2 linked regions of the Lepisosteus oculatus genome follow. The protein of the gene in region 1 purifies or fractionates together with the protein of each later gene. This does not show direct contact. Links are inferred from orthologs where the notes say so. Each region holds a gene or a part of one and is shown in the gene's direction. Other genes may lie near its edges.

Region 1 (7,891 bases):
CGGAGATGTCTTAAGTATTCCGCCCTTGGTCAGGTGATGAGTGTTGTCGCTAGGAGCAGCGCGTGGCGGATGTTGACGGCGTATGGGGAGGGGTCAGTGACGAGGCGCTCTGGGGTGTGGGGAGGTTTGAGAGAACCTGCTCAGTAACATCTGCAGAGGAATCCAGCTCTTTTTCCAGCCCGCCCCATATCACATATCGCCAGCTGCTAAAATCCTGTTTTTTTCATTTGTGAATGCTTTCCAACGTTTACTGAAACCTATCATATACGGTAAAAAGGCATTGATCCATGTAATACAAAATGCCTTCAAGTACTCAAATTATAGGCAGAGTTTGTGTGAGGAGATGTGTGATGCTGATGTGAAATGTTGTGTGATACTTTATGATGAGGGCCGGTGGTACTGTGCATTAAGTAAAGGTTTGTTCCATGCTGAAAAGAACAATACAAATAACATTTCAGCTGTGGAGCCTTCTTCAGGTGTGCAGGAGCCTTCTCTTTTCAGCTTAGAATAAACCTTTAACTGTGCCTGCCTTTGCAGCCTGCACATGCTGAAGCAGCTCTCTCTCATGTATCTCGTCCTGTTGTTTCGAAAGCTCGTTTTACATGATACGTGGCAAAACTGGCTCAGTGTTCAAGACAAAGTAAAGGAGTAAAAAAAAGGAGAAGTAAAAAAGTTAAACATTTATTAAAATATTTAAATAATCCTCTTCTGCTTTGTTAGCTGTACTGTGAACGTCTTCTGCTTTGTTAGCTGTATGAGGAATCAATTATATTACCAGAAATGTCACCTCAGACAGGACTGTGCCAGTGGGAATTCTGCCTGTGTGCTGCAGTTCAGTCTGTGGTACCGGGACTCACATTTATAACCAAGTCGTTTTTCACACTTTGGAGGCCTAAATGCATTAAAATTTAACCCTGGAAAACAAAAATATGATATCAATGAACTTGCACTGACAGCAATATAACGTAAAATAACTGAAGGGCCATGGAAAACGTAACTTTATATACAGACTGCGATTCATTTCACAGCTTTGAAAAATCATATTATAATCATGTATTATGATTATAATAATGTAATTGATCATTTTGTACTAAATGCTTTCATCTGTAATACATGATTAGCATTATATGCTCAATTTACCCTATTTCCTTAATTGTTTCCAATCCTGAATGTCTTATAATATCTTACTATTAGCTTCCTTAATTTCACCACGCTGAAGTGTCACAACAGCGGAACCGCATCTTTCTGGCTCATTGTTTAAATTGTCTGGATGGACTGGAACTAACAGCAAATTTTTGGAGTAGTACACGTGACTGCGGAGCTCTATAAATCTAGTTGACCGCTGGCATTCTTAACGTCTGCAAAGGGTACTGATTCAGAGGGGAGAATCACAATCCACAGACAGACGAATTGTTCACTGAGTTTATTCTCTGGGTGATTAATCTTTGTCTTGTGTTAAGAGACCTGCATTCCTTAACTTCTCAAAAACCTTTCGCTACTGCTCTCAACAGCCCTGACTACTGGCTGCAGGAAGCTTTTACAAGGAAGCTTCGGTCCTGTAGAGTTCTGGCTGGTGTTAGAGAAATAACTCCACACTTTATGAGCATCACGCAGTGCAAAAGGCGTGAAAACTAAAACGTAAAAGATGAGAAAGGAAATACAAAAAGTGTATGCCACTGAATATTTGATGTACGTCTTTCAGCAAAGATATGTAACATTATAAGAAAAACCAGTAGACACCAGCAGGAAGGTATGTGCAAATTGTCATTGCTTTTATTTGTGGGCTGAGACAGGTACACCCTTCCATGTAATTTGACTCTCAATAATAGTATTGTGTAGTATTATAGGAACAAAAATATCCAATGATGTGCAGAAAGGTAAGTAGTATTGTACTCATCTGTGTTAATAATAGAAGTAGCAGCAGTAGTAAAACTACTGAACATTACATATAGTTCATAATTAGGACTGAGATTTCTGTGACACATTTTGAAGGTGCTAATTTGATACTGACAGCTGAACTACTGCATGAATCTGTGTCAATTAGCAATGTGTAGGAGTAAATTAAAAGCAGAACTACCTGCCAGTTTATTTTAAACAACTTTTGGCTGCAACAATTTGAGGACACAGATACCACAGACAAGTGTCCCTTGACAGCCTGACAGTAGGCTTTGTAAAGCTGTTAACCTGCCCTGCGGATCTTGTATACACATGTGGAAGAGAGTTTAATGAAAAGTGTCTCAACTCAAGAATACCTGGATCTTAAAACTCTTTCAGTTATCTTTGAACAGTCAGTGCAGCTCTATTATGGCTCCATATCATTAAAATAAAATTCAGATATTTCTAATAATTCAGAATTCAGGTGAAGTTTAAAATGGGGTAGATACCTGGCAGATGATCTTTCAAACAGACAAATGTAAAATATTACATGCAAATACCAAAACTATAAATCATAAATACATAATGGGAAATGCTCAGTTTGAAGAGGCTATAAAATTGTGTGCAGTGTATTATTATGAAATATACATTATTTTGTTATTAATCACAAACAGTCTTTCTTTTTCTGTAATACTACAGCCCAGTTTAAACGTGTTAAAGTCGGGTGTACACTGGCATAGATGATGTATAGGAAACAGTGATTTTGCTTTGCAGATCTTTATTTTGTTTTTCCTCAAAATAAATCTAAAGACGTGTGTGTTTACCTCACACACAGACAGTGCAGCTGCTTCAGGCTGCTGTGGAAGAGTGAAGGAATCGCCACCTGACCCCCGAGTCCGAGCAACATCTGTTGCACCAACAAAAAGAAGGGAGCAAAGTTGTACCCCTTCATGTTTTCTGACTTTGAAAACCTTTGTTGATCTTAGCTGGACTGAAAGAGGATTTCCGACACTTTGTTCCCTTTGCTCAAACTGACGACCACTGCAGGGAGCAGTCTGTGAAACACAAAGAACGTTTCCTCTTAACTGGAGTAAAACTGTCACCACACGAATTTCACTTTAGTTGCTTCACATTTACTCTGGTTATTGTGAAAGCCATTTGAGGATTTTCTCTATTTTTTTAAAAGCTAAGGGAACCACCAAGACAAAGCAAAACAAAAATGCAAGTAAAAACCAGGAGTTCATAAATAAACATGAGAACATTAAAAAGGTTCCCTACAAGAGGACGTCTTTCAGTCCAGTGAGCTTGTTTGACTGCTAGTTGCCAACAGATCCAAGGATCTCATCCAGCTGCTGTTTGGAAGAAAACAGGGTATCACTTTCAAGAATATGGCTGAATATTTTGTTCCACTCTTCCATAAAACTTTGTCTCCCATTCTCCCTCTTTTAAGGTACCTCCCCATAGTTTCTATCTGTATCCTCTTGTTCGTGTTTCACTGATGATCCTGAAGAAGCCCACTGGATTTTCGTCTGTGGATTTGCATAATTGAATAACCTTCAAAGAACGCAGAGCTCAGCAAGTTTGTTAAGGAAAATCTACCTTCTTTAAAACCATTCTGACTATTCAGTAAAACAGTACTGCCTCACACGTCTTCTTGTTTAGGAATAGAGCCACAGTAACTCATTGGGCCAGAGGTTGTCTTTGTTTCCTTAGTGTTAGCTGGACGAGAGAACAAATTATTTTCTGCTTGGAGGGGACACTGTTTCACAAGGTTTAACCCCCAGCAATATTGGTCTCTATTTACATAGCTGGGGGGACTGGAGCAACTGGAGTAAAGCACCTCAGTCAAGGTACAACAGCCCTGTCTTCAGCAGTGACTCGAAGCCAAAACCTGCCGGTCATGGGACCTATGCTATACCACCACAGTCCCAGACTCCATGTTGAAAAGAAAAAAGAAAAACAAAAAATTGACTGCTGAGCCTACTCCAAGTGTGAGTGTGAAAGAGGAAGGCAGCAGGGATACAGAGCACTGAAGAATCAAGGACACAGCAGGGTGTGAGAAAGACAGAGGTGGCCACTCCGCCTCCCCTACACTCTCTATATAACCCCTTCTGACTCCCCTGTCTTTCTCACACCTCCACCTCCTCTCTGGAATAAACCTTTAACTTCTTCCTTAATGCTAATTATGTTGGCATAACCTTCCATGTACAACAACAGCATGTGATTTCTTTATACTTTATATCATTTCCTCACTTACTTTTGTGACATAGATAGTATCTTAAATGGTTCAAATACTGCAACACTTCCTCTTCTGTATGAGTTCTGTTTAATACAGTTTCTTCCAGTATCCTCATAAACTGTGTCCCCTTCACTATACTGGGGCATTAGGACCCACATGAGCCACAGGGTGAGCGCCCCCTGCTGCTCCCACTGATACCTCTTCCACTTTAACAGTCGTTAGGGAGGCCATGTTATGGATGTCCAGGGTGAAATTCGGCCAAGTCTTAACTCTGCTTTTATGAAGAGTGTCATGGGATCTTTAATGACCACAAGTAGTGAGGACTTTTCTCATGTGTAGGGGGTTTCCTCTGACATATCAGCGTCACTGGGCACCATACTCAGGAACTTGTTTGGAAATCCTAACCCAGGAGGGAGAAAGCCACTAAGATTAGAAACCTGCTTTCCCTTAGAGGACCCTGTCCTGACCAGGCCCAACTATGCTTAGCTTCTGGGATCTGTGGTGGTCAGGTTACAGGCATCACTGCCGCATTGTACATAAAGGAGGGCCAGTGTCATAAAGCGATTTTAACCCGGGACACATACCGAATGGCCATCATCACAATATATGAAGGCATGTGGCTGCCGAGGGCGTCTGCACTGCGCTGCAGCTGAGCAGCCCTTCAAAGGGGAAGCGCGTCCCCGGGCTGCGCGTGCTCGTGCGCTCGCCCCCGCCGCCCAGTGACTCAGTGCTGCTCTCGGGGTTTTTTTTTTTCGCTCTCGCAGCGGCAGCTCGGCACCGCCATCACCGGAATTCCCCAGCAAAAATGTCCAAGCAGGAGCAGATCCTAATCCTCGATCCACCAAACGATCTCAAATTCAAAGGTAAGGACCCATCGTCGTGGCGGGGCGGGGGAGCCGGGTTTCGCAGCCGCCCCGGAGTACCCAAATCGGGGGATAATTTCGCTCCCCCCCCCCCTCCGGTTACTCGGGGTAAACTGCCCGCCGCCATTTTGAGGAAGGGAGTCGGAGTTGGTGGGCCGCGGCGGATCCGCGGTCTCCCGTGAGCCGCGCAGCCGGCAGGCGAGAAGGCTCTCGCCGCAGCGCAGCTGGCTGAGCTGCGCCCGTCGCCACGTCGGCTTCCCTTGGCAAGCACGCCCGGCCGGAGTGTGATTGTAGCCGCGGTGACAGGGGTCGGGGTGTCGGTGGTGTGGATGTGTCAGGCCCGGGCGTTGCAGGTGAGCTCCGGCAGCGATGGACTGAGCCGCCGGTGTGTGATTTTTGTGTTGTCTGTATTATTATTTTTTTTGCTACGTGGACTAGCGACGCGACAGACGGCTTGAGAGAAAGAGCAGGGATTTTTGTGCCCGAAACAGCTTTGAATCGTGGTGGCGGCGACACTCCTTTGCAGGAATAAGACTCAATCTAAGGAGATTGCATTTCACGGTTTTAGTGCGATTTATTTTGGAAGCGGTGCGGAGCATTGCGTTCCTGGGTGTTGAATGAATCCAACTTGTGCCTTTGCAATCGCAGGCAAAGCTTTAGAAAGCGGCAAGCGGAGATATTGATATTGTTTCGGACACTTTGCTCCAGATTCGCCTGGTCTTCCTTGTCTTTGTAAGTGAAAGTCGCTTATCAGTGAGAAGCAGGGGACGAGAAATGGCAAAGACGATGACATCCACGTGCCAGAAAAAAAGTAAACATTTCTGCAGTGTGATACGCGGATGTAATGGACAAAGGTGGAAACTGCCCTGAATCTGATCTCACGAACAGGGAATCACGGTTGTGAAATCTGTGCATTAATCTAAACAGTGAGCCGATAAACTGCATGGCTGCCGTTGTGCAGGAATTTTCGGAGGAGCGTTTTTCAACAATGAATGCACAAGGACATATGACAAGTCGGGAAGGAAACGAGGCCTCTCCGCAACTTTATCTGGCACGGGTGCTGGGTGATCGATCCCCCTTCACCCAAGGAGGATGGAATCTGAGGCGAGAACACGTTGTAATGTTTCTAATCGAAACCAGAATGTTGTGAAAGAGAGTTTAAAAGGTGCACATAGTCAAAGTGAAGTTACTGCACTGCTTCCTTGGATCGAAATCATCCCCAGCTCTGCAGAGCAGGTAAATTCAAGCTGGATTCGACTTCCTTATTCTGGACGGCGACCAGCTAGAGACTGTGAGACTGTTGCCTGTGATGGCATGTGTCTTCTGAAGAATATCCCGGACATTGTAAAACTCCGAGGTCAGGAGACCTTCCTGGCTACCCCACCTTCATGATAACTCTGTTGTTGTTTTTTTCAAGGAAGTTGTTTGGTTTAGGGAGCGTGAATGGGATTTTTCACCCATTCATTTCCCATCCAGGATTGAGGCAGAGCCAGAGCCAAGCCCAGCAATCAGTGAGCCCAAGGCAGGGTACGTCCTGGATGGGACGTCAGTCAGCACAGGGCACACAAACGCGCACACACACGCACTCACTCACACCAGGGTCAGTTTTCCTATAAGCCAGTTAATTTAACAGTGTGTCTTTGGACGATGGGAGGAAGCCTACGCCACCATGGGGAGAACAGACAAGCTCCACACTGATGGCCCTCTGGCCCCAGCCCTGCGGAGCAACAATACTGACCCCTGAACCACCACGCCGCCCAGCGTAATTACCATGGTATTATTACACAGAATTGGGCCAGCAAGTGCTCCGTTGAATATTAGATGGGAGGCCCTTCTGCATGTAAGAGGAGTTGCAGGGCAAGTGGAGGAGTTGTGGTGATTTGCCTTATTCAGGATGATAGCTTACCACCTTGTTACACTAGCTAGCACATGAAGTCTTCTTCTGACAGCAGAGCTTGACATCAGATGCTGTCTCAGATTCTCTGACTTTTAGGAGATGTGAACAACCTGATGTTGCTTGCATTTTTGAGGTAATTGCTCCTTTTTTGTTTCCAAGACAGGCTTCTAGCTCTGGGGCACTCTGATACATCTCTGCAGTGCCCCAATAAGGGAAACAAGGCTTTTGTTGGGTGGTGTGGCCAGTGTAGCTCTCCTTGCCCCTGCCTGGGTTCGAGCACCTGCGACTCCACTCTCTAGACAGCGGGTACTTGCGCCTAGCTTAAAGACCAGGTCTCTGCCTCTAGCTGTCAGTCCAGCTTCCAGAGGGGGTGAAGTCGAACTTGCGTCAGTGCACCGAGCCCTGTCACAGTAGCAGTAACCGTGTTACACGGTATTTCGATGCAGTTCAGATTTAATGGGGCTGTAGGCTCTGGTACAGACTGAACTGAAGGAACAGGATATGCAGGCTGTATATTTAACTTTGAATGTCTGTCTAAAATTACGTAGTTTAAAGCAAGAAACATGAGACATCCAGCACCTGGTATTGACTAACGCAAGAGCTTACTGTAAAACCTGAAATGCGTCAAGTGGCGTGGTGGTGGGAGTCTCGCGTCTGTTTTTCTTGTTGAAGACCTCTTGCCCCTGTGAACATCTGCATCTCCTTGGAATTGGACGCAGAATGTTGGATCACGCTTTGTCAGACGCCAGGGTGTGTGTCACATACTTTTTTTGAATGGCCTGCCTGCAACTTAACACAAAGGGACAGCCAAGGTGCTTTTGGCAAGCTCTGGTAGCAGATCGCTAGGTGCACCTGCTATGATGGGCGACTGCACACACCGAATTCATTCAGGACGCGTGTAATCACCTGGTGCTGCTGGCTAGGATAGACTCCGTCTCCCCTGCGACGCTCTGTTGGATAAAGTGGGCAGACAATGGAGGGGTGGTTTCACTTGGATTGGCGTAGGACTACTGTCAC
Region 2 (7,941 bases), on another chromosome or scaffold:
GAGACGAAGGACGGATAAACCCAGAGAACTGAAGCACTTTTTCTTAAAGGGGTAGCTGTATTTGACTAACAACGGTGTTCTTGTTAACATGGATCATACGGCAGTTTTTCAAACAAAGCATTAATTTTATGTTCTATGGCATTTCGATTTGTTTTCATGTAAGGAAAAACGTAGAGAAATTAGACAATTATGTGCAATAACCTAATTTCTTAACGTCAGATAAAAATAGGCATAACAAATCAATTAACGGATTACGAACTATTGTATATTTCCACACAAACAGAATTAAAAGTAATAAAACTATAGCACATAATATAGGACAAAACATGCCAGTCTGCATTATAATATGTTAAAATGTGTGAGACTGAGTGTTTGTATTAAATATAGTTTGGGGGTAATGAGTTGATTTAAAAAAAAAACATCACATAATCGTAAACTGTTTCTTTTTACCAACGATTGTATTACTTTAAATCCTTTACACACGATATCGAATATTTTTGCAAAATTGTTTAATACCGCCATCTGTTGGAAGACTATTGCAAGAAAAGCTGAATGCAAGTTAGGGTTAGCTTAATGACTTTAAACCGGTGTCACACAAAAACCCATTGATTTAGGAAAAAATGAATTATATCATAACATTTATTTAAAACAACAACGCACACTTCGAAAGCTTTTAAAATGCAAACTGTAAACGTCTCGGATTCCTTTAATGTGTTATTTGGCTCACATGGTCAAATTGCACTATGGCCTTCTTTAGCCCTGATCTGAGGACCAACATTTCTAATGGATCTGTCTCCATTTCTGATTTTACAAAAAAGATTCACTCACACATAACTAAAAAATAAATTACGGAGATCAAGAATGGGAAACATGTTTTACACCAGAAATCAACTTCCCATGTAGACGCTGACCAAGAAAGCTTTTAAATTCTGATGACCACATCAGGGCAGTTAACACATGAGTAAACATGCATAAGCATGCATATTTGTTACATGCTTAACATAATCTAATAATTTAATAAATCTCTGACAAGTACAGTATTTCCTTTCAACTCAAAATAGCATTTTGACTTATGTTTTAGAGGGCCCCAGGTACAAACGAACTACACTGTACCTTCTGATTCTCATACATCAGAAAGACCACCGAAACTAAAATAATTTAGCTGGGATCACACATTCTCTCTTCCCTTAATGACAGATTACTGTTCTTTAAAATTTTCTCCATTCATTGGAAGTTTCATTTCACACCTCTCTGCACCCATTCTGACTTCACACCTCTTGATTGGCCTCTCTTTCTGTCCCCTGCTCCTGCCTCTCACTCCTCCTCCCTCCCAGCCTTTGTTCTCCCGCTACTTTACCTTTGCCTACTGCCCTGTCTCTCTCACACCTGAAGAAGGCTCCACGGCCGAAACGTTGTGTTCTCTTTCTTCTTTTTTTCAGCATGGAATAAACCTATTACTTGTTCCTTTACACTGTACCTCTGCATGTTTGGGAGATACCTGCCACTATTGTTCTCTGCTTTAATCTTCAGCAAGCACTAGGGAAAGAGATCAAATTTCTTAACAACTGGCATCGCAAGAACTGCAGTCTGAAAGTAACAGCCCAGATAGGCAGCCGTATCATTTTCATAGGAAACACACGTGTGACATAACAAGGGACCTTGCGATTTCTGCTCGGGGCAACTCAGGGAGCTCACCCGTGGCATAAGAAGATTTAATCTAATTGTAGAAGACTTAAACTAGAGAATGACCTGGGCTGCAGGCTGTTGTCTTCAACCTTCAAGACACATTGTTTAGTTTTTTAAATGATTCACTCTAAATATTGACAATAAGTGTTATTACAGATAGGTGCATTCAAAATACATACACCTATTGCAAACATGACATTATGCATTGTACGCTAAATAGGATATTTTTAAATGTTTCACTTGTCGAATCTGAAATTCTGGCATTGCAATGGCACACAGGTATTTTTTACAGTTCACAGAGAAGCCCCATACAGTAAATGTACCATGATGAATGCGTTTGACAAGTGCTTGTCATGGATTCACTGGCAGACACATTGATTTCTGGAAGAGCATTTATGGATTTGAAAAGGATATGCAGATGACGAACAGTGTACTAGCACTGATGCATATCAGTGGATGGGGAATCACAAAACAGAAGGGGAAATTAGACAAACTGCTGCTTGTGATACTCATTTCCTTATAAAAATACATTGTAATAATAACCAGCAGAGATGTTAGTGATTGGCTTGCCCTCAAGGTCTGATTCCATCCTTACAGCCTAAGCAAATAAAATATTAATCAGGTCCAACCTTATTTGTGACTTAATATTTGTATAATATTTGAACCACCCAACCCTTGCTTATTCAGTGTTAAAATCACACAAATGGTGTGACCTGGCTTAGACAAAAAAATCTGAACCCTTTTATTCTGGTGCTGTTATGGGATTCCTCACCATTTCTCATTAAGTAGGCCACAAACACAGGAAAATGTTTTTTCTTTTCTTTTTTTCCATTAAGGTGCATCCTTCCTCTACCGCGCAGACTTGTTTACTAAAAATTGTTTCCGAGCCGGCCTCTAGAAGTGACTGATATGGAAAGTGGGGGAGGGAGTGTGATATATTTTAAACTGACACACTGACAAATATCGGATGTAGGCATTACCTTTTTGTCTAGATTTTACACAGGACTGGCTGCAAAATAAACTATCTGCATGATCTGTGAAATGTGTGACATTCATCTGCCAATGTCAGTTTCAGAAATGAGTCGTTTTGTTTTGCAGTGCCTTTTCCGGGAGTAGGTTTGTCCTTTCAATAAAAGGTTTATCTTTAGCAGGTGTGTAGGATCACAAGTTTCAAATAAAGTGTCAGGCTCTTACAAATGCACAGTGAAATTAACGGGAATCTCACATATTTCTTTGCTGCAGTTATTCTGTAAACTCAAATGATACTAAATAAAATGTCATTTGCAATCTGTCCTGTATTGTAAGGGATTGCAAGAGAGCTACTTGTAAAACATACACACAAAGTATGTGTGCATCCTAGCTTTTTTCGGTCTTAAAGAAAATGCCACACCAGAAAATGGAGCAAAGAGTAGGTTTTACTATTTTGGATGGTAGAGGATAGTACCATATCTTTGAATTTTTCTTTTAGAACTTTAACTTGGATCTAACATTTTTATAGACAGAGAGTCCACACAACAATTTTGTTTTTTAAAAGCATGATAAGGTTTTGGCTATCAAATGTACTTCATTACAGCTCGGTTATTTTCGAACAAGACAATCCCAGGCATAAAACTCTTTATTTACTTTTTGAAGCATCTTGAGTATGGTGGCGGTAGCAAAAATGTTCATATAGAGCAGAGTGAAACTAAAGAGATCAGGGAAAGTATCTGAAATTATTTAGCCTTGTGTTTGCTATTACCTGTGCTTTACCTTTCACAACTTTGTGATCTAATTTTTAATTCACTTGAGTTATCTTTGTAATCTTGTACAACTGGTATTTTCTTCGGTATTTACACAGAGCTCCCCCAAGAAATGGTGTAGACTGTTATACTGGATTGCACAGTAACGTAAGGCCAACTACCTTTTAATTGTTTGATCCAAGAAGTTGAAAATAGTAACTGTCTATTTATACATCCTAGCATACATTTTCAGTAATCAGTAAATCCTATACAGGATTGTGGTGCGCCAGGAGCCTAATTCAGCAGGCAATGGGCACAGTATGTTAGTCCATCACAGGGTGCACAACAAACAAACGCACATGGAAAAATTTAGTCATGCCGGTTAACCTAGACATCATGTTTTTGAACTGTGGGATGAAACTAGTGAGAGCAATTTGCCAAAATCTACAAAATAACAGGGAGAACTTCAGAACCCAAGAGCCCATGGTGCCAGCCATCATAAATTATGCCACAAAAATTGTTTTGCTTTTAAAATATGAATCACTACAAGCAATGGGTTGAAATTGAGGTCTACCTTTTCTCATCTATAAAGGCTAGGCACAGCAAATTTTAATACTATTGTTGAAATTGAGAACCAACTTTTATATATCGTGTTTTATTATTCTGTTGCATTCTTTATTGTACCGTAAATATCTGCTTATGTGAGTCCATATCCGCAAAATTACAGCTGAATACGGTTTCTGTTATCCTCATAGCCCATTTTTAGAGTTTTTCTGTGAAGATATAATTTCTGTAAAGTCTGTGAAGATAACATCTCTTGGGGAATTAACACTGAGAAGCCTGGTTTGGGAAGAATATAATTACAATTGTCTGTTTCTTTAAGAAATCTAAATTGAAATAAAAAAAAACAAAATTTATAATGAAAAAAAACCAATCAAATAAATTGCTAAAATACATTTAATTCATGGCTTAACTGACCCACGACGTATCACAAATTTGAGTTTTCCCCGTTCTGTTTTAAATGTTTATTACTAAAATAGAGAATTGTTCCTTTGAAAACAAGTGCTCTTCTTGAAATAACAGAATCGTTGCTTCGTAGCATGATGAGCAAAAGATTTTCGCTTTAACGAGAAAGATAACTTACAGCCTGGATAATTGTACGACTAAAATTCCAGTATGTCACAACTACTGTATGAGCATTATAACATGATTTGGGAACTATCACTCGCTGTCGCTGTTTTACACGAGCGTTTATGTGTAGGCTATCTGGAATGTACCAATACACTCAGAAGGCTACATTTGTTTAAATTTTAAATATATTTTGCATATATTATACGTTCTGATAATCCAAATGGTCTTTAAAAATGCGATTTTTAGGTGATAATTTTTTATGTTTTCTTTCATTTGTTTTTTCCCCCATAAAGTTCTAAGTGTACATTATTGTTCGAGAAAGTAGATTGTTCCAAGCCGTTTCCTTCCTGATGACAACAGTGCTCACATGGTCAGTTTGGAAGGTGCTGTTGCTGCTGTGCTTGAAGAACTCCGGACTGGATCGTATTCAGAAAGTTGTTGTTTTTAAAAAAAGTTAATGTGAACTCGCGAAAATGGGAAAGAAGAAAACTGGCGGCGGAGGCGCTGGATTAGGCAGGGCTTTAATAAAGGAGAGGCAACTGGCAGGTCGGGGCAACAGAGCAGATTCCTGGGTACTTCACATTTATTTAATAACTCGAAGTGATTTAAAGTCCTTGACGAGTATAACAGTCAGGGAAAAAAATACAAGTACTGCTTCTAATGGTTCATATAATTTTAGTTTTCTATGTGTACAATAGCATTTTAGAATGATTTTTGTTAATTGTTTTCTGGAAATGGTGTTGGGTTCTGCATTTAAAGTGACTAGCAGGGTGACACTTGAAAAACAAAAAGACGGAGATGGCGATGGTGGAGATTTTCTTCCCTAAAACAGCTGTGTGAGGTGGTTTAGGATTCTGCAGTTGTAACTGGGAGACTGTGGGTTAAAATCAAAGGGGAGACACTGCAGGTGTGTTCCTGCGCAAAGGTACTTCACACACATCGTAAAGTATCGAGCTGTATGAATGGGATGCTTCGGGTAAAAATTTACAGAGAAAACAAATCATTTCAATTAGAAGAAACTGAAAGGTATCTTAGGGATTCTTGGAGTCTGGAAATTGCATTTGGAAATGTATGTGCACTAGATATTTTAAAATAATTCGATGTTCTTGATGTCAAAAAATGTCAACAAAAGGCCCCACTCTGTGACTCAACTTTGATTTCAACTTCAAGAAAGGAGGACGTACAGTACAGCCCAGTTGTACATTTTTCCTCCTTTTAATGTGCTTCTTGGTTTAATAAAACAGTCAGATTTGTCTGAGCAGTGCGAGTAGCGAGGATCTGCGGTAACTATGCAGTGCATGATGGAAGAAGTGCTGTTTGTGTTAACGTAACAAGATCATATTGTTTCCTTTACAGCTCCACACCAGTGAACTGAATGATGGGTACGACTGGGGCCGTCTGAACCTGCAGTCAGTCACAGAGCAGAGCTCTCTGGATGAATTCTTAGCTACAGCTGAGCTAGCCGGAACAGAGTTTGTTGCAGGTAAAGAGCGGTCAATATTTTCTAGGGGGACACAAAACATGGTTTGATTATTTCAAATCCTAAAATCATAGTGAACTTAGTTGGTTTAAGTAGTTCAGGTGGGTAGCTGCGTCAGCATGTGTAGGCTGCAAAGGAACAAGTAATAGGTTTATTCCATGCTGAAAAGAGAAGAAGGAAAACACAACGTTTTGGCCGTGGAGCCTTCTTCAGGTGTGAGCCAAAGAAGGCTCCACAGCCAAAATGTTGTGTTTTCTTTCTGTCACTGTCACTGTCACTTTGTCTCTCTCAATGGGTACAGGTCTGAAATTGGTCTTGTCAAGTCTGGTGTCCCCCAGGGCTCAATACTGGGCCCCTTGCTCTTCACCATTTACATGTTCCCACTTGGTCAGCTTTTAAGATCACATGGCCTCAGCTGGTATACATCCATACCAAACCCGATGTGGTTGTCTCTAGTCTATCTAATTGCATCTCTGACATAAAAATTTGGATGACTCAAAACTTCCTTCATCTTAACTGTGACAAGACCGAAGTCATGCTTATTGGTACCCCCCATCAACTTCGTAAAGCCAGTCCTGTAACCCTGTCTGTAGATGGCTCTGTACTAGCTTCAATCAAAATTGAAAAACCTTGGGGTTATATTCGATTCTGGCTTAACATACGACCCACATGTACAGCATACTGTCAAAACATCTTTTTTTCACCTTAGAAATATCGCAAGACTCCGCCCTATGCTATCATTAACTGTGGCTGACAAGCTGATCAGCATATTTGTATTCTCTCGAATTGACTACTGCAATGCTCTACTCCCTGGGGTATCTAAATCTACTCTGAACAAGCTGTAGTATGTCCAAAATTCAGCAGCCAGAATCCTGACCAGGTCTAGGGCAAGTGTTCACATTACTCCTATCCTGGAGTCCTTGCACTGGCTTCCGGTCAAATTCCGTGTAGACTTGAAAATCCTCATGCTCACCTATAATGCTTTACATGGCTTGGCACCTCAATACCTGTCTGAACTTTTATCGCCCTACTCCCCACCTTGCAACCTCCGCTCTTCTAATTCTGCCCTCCTTACTGTCCCCCAAGCCCGTCTACATTGTATGGGGGACAGGGCCTTCTCCTGCTATGCCCCCAAGCTCTGGAACTTTGCCCAAGGATATCAGAGAGTCACCTTCTCTAAACTCCTTTAAATCCAGACTCAAAACCTTCTTCTTCAGAAAAGCCTTTACTTAACTTGTCCCACTCTTCACCCCTCTGCTCTTCTTAATACCACCTTCCACGGTCTCCTCTATTGTTATTGTTGTATTGTTGTAATTATAATTGTGTCTTGTGAAATCTTCTTATTTATTGTTGTAGTCTTCTTATTTATTGTTAATGTCATCCTGTAAAGCGCTTTGAGAAGCCACCTTTAAAGGCGCTATATAAAATAAAGATTATTATTATTATTATTATTATTATTATTATTATTATTATTATTATTATTATTATTACTACTACAACTTGTTCCCTAGTTGGTTTAAGCTGCCTTTTAACAACTCTTATTAACGTGTCACGTCACTTTTGAAAGTGTGAGCAAGCTGGAGTGTACTCCCAAAATTGTAGCCTATTATAGTTTGGTGAGCTCAGAGTAATGGACAGTGATTTTATTGGCAGACTATAAGAGTGTGTTGTTTGCCTTCTGACATAATTGCTGTATCTTGGCTTTTCAGAAAAGCTCAACATCAAGTTTGTTCCTGCTGAAGCCAGAACAGGTTTACTGACACCAGAAGAGAGCAAGAGGATTAAAAAGCTTCATGAAGAGAACAAGCAGTTTCTCAGAATACCTCGCAGGTAAGTCAGCCACACCAGTTGCCTGACACGAATGACTCTAAAGCATTCATTGTCTTTACAAATATATAGTTTTTATGGACTTTGGGAAGTCTTTTT

The links. Proteins that work in one complex are often made in the same cells at the same time.
Region 2: the proteins of vapal (region 1) and lsg1 purify together in Homo sapiens (co-immunoprecipitation; 4 studies listed by BioGRID and IntAct, counting the BioPlex papers as one, with this or other methods). This does not show direct contact. The link is inferred for Lepisosteus oculatus from reciprocal best matches to the Homo sapiens genes VAPA and LSG1.

The regions. Positions count from the first base shown.
Region 1 is NC_090701.1:56,562,996-56,570,886, forward strand, and holds the start of vapal (VAMP (vesicle-associated membrane protein)-associated protein A, like), read left to right. Parts: upstream 1-4,839; 5' UTR 4,840-4,919; coding exon 4,920-4,977; intron 4,978-7,891. UniProt on the Homo sapiens protein: Endoplasmic reticulum (ER)-anchored protein that mediates the formation of contact sites between the ER and endosomes via interaction with FFAT motif-containing proteins such as STARD3 or WDR44.
Region 2 is NC_090708.1:9,096,643-9,104,583, forward strand, and holds the start of lsg1 (large subunit GTPase 1 homolog), read left to right. Parts: upstream 1-4,876; 5' UTR 4,877-5,008; coding exon 5,009-5,107; intron 5,108-5,891; coding exon 5,892-6,018; intron 6,019-7,724; coding exon 7,725-7,845; intron 7,846-7,941. UniProt on the Homo sapiens protein: Functions as a GTPase. May act by mediating the release of NMD3 from the 60S ribosomal subunit after export into the cytoplasm during the 60S ribosomal subunit maturation.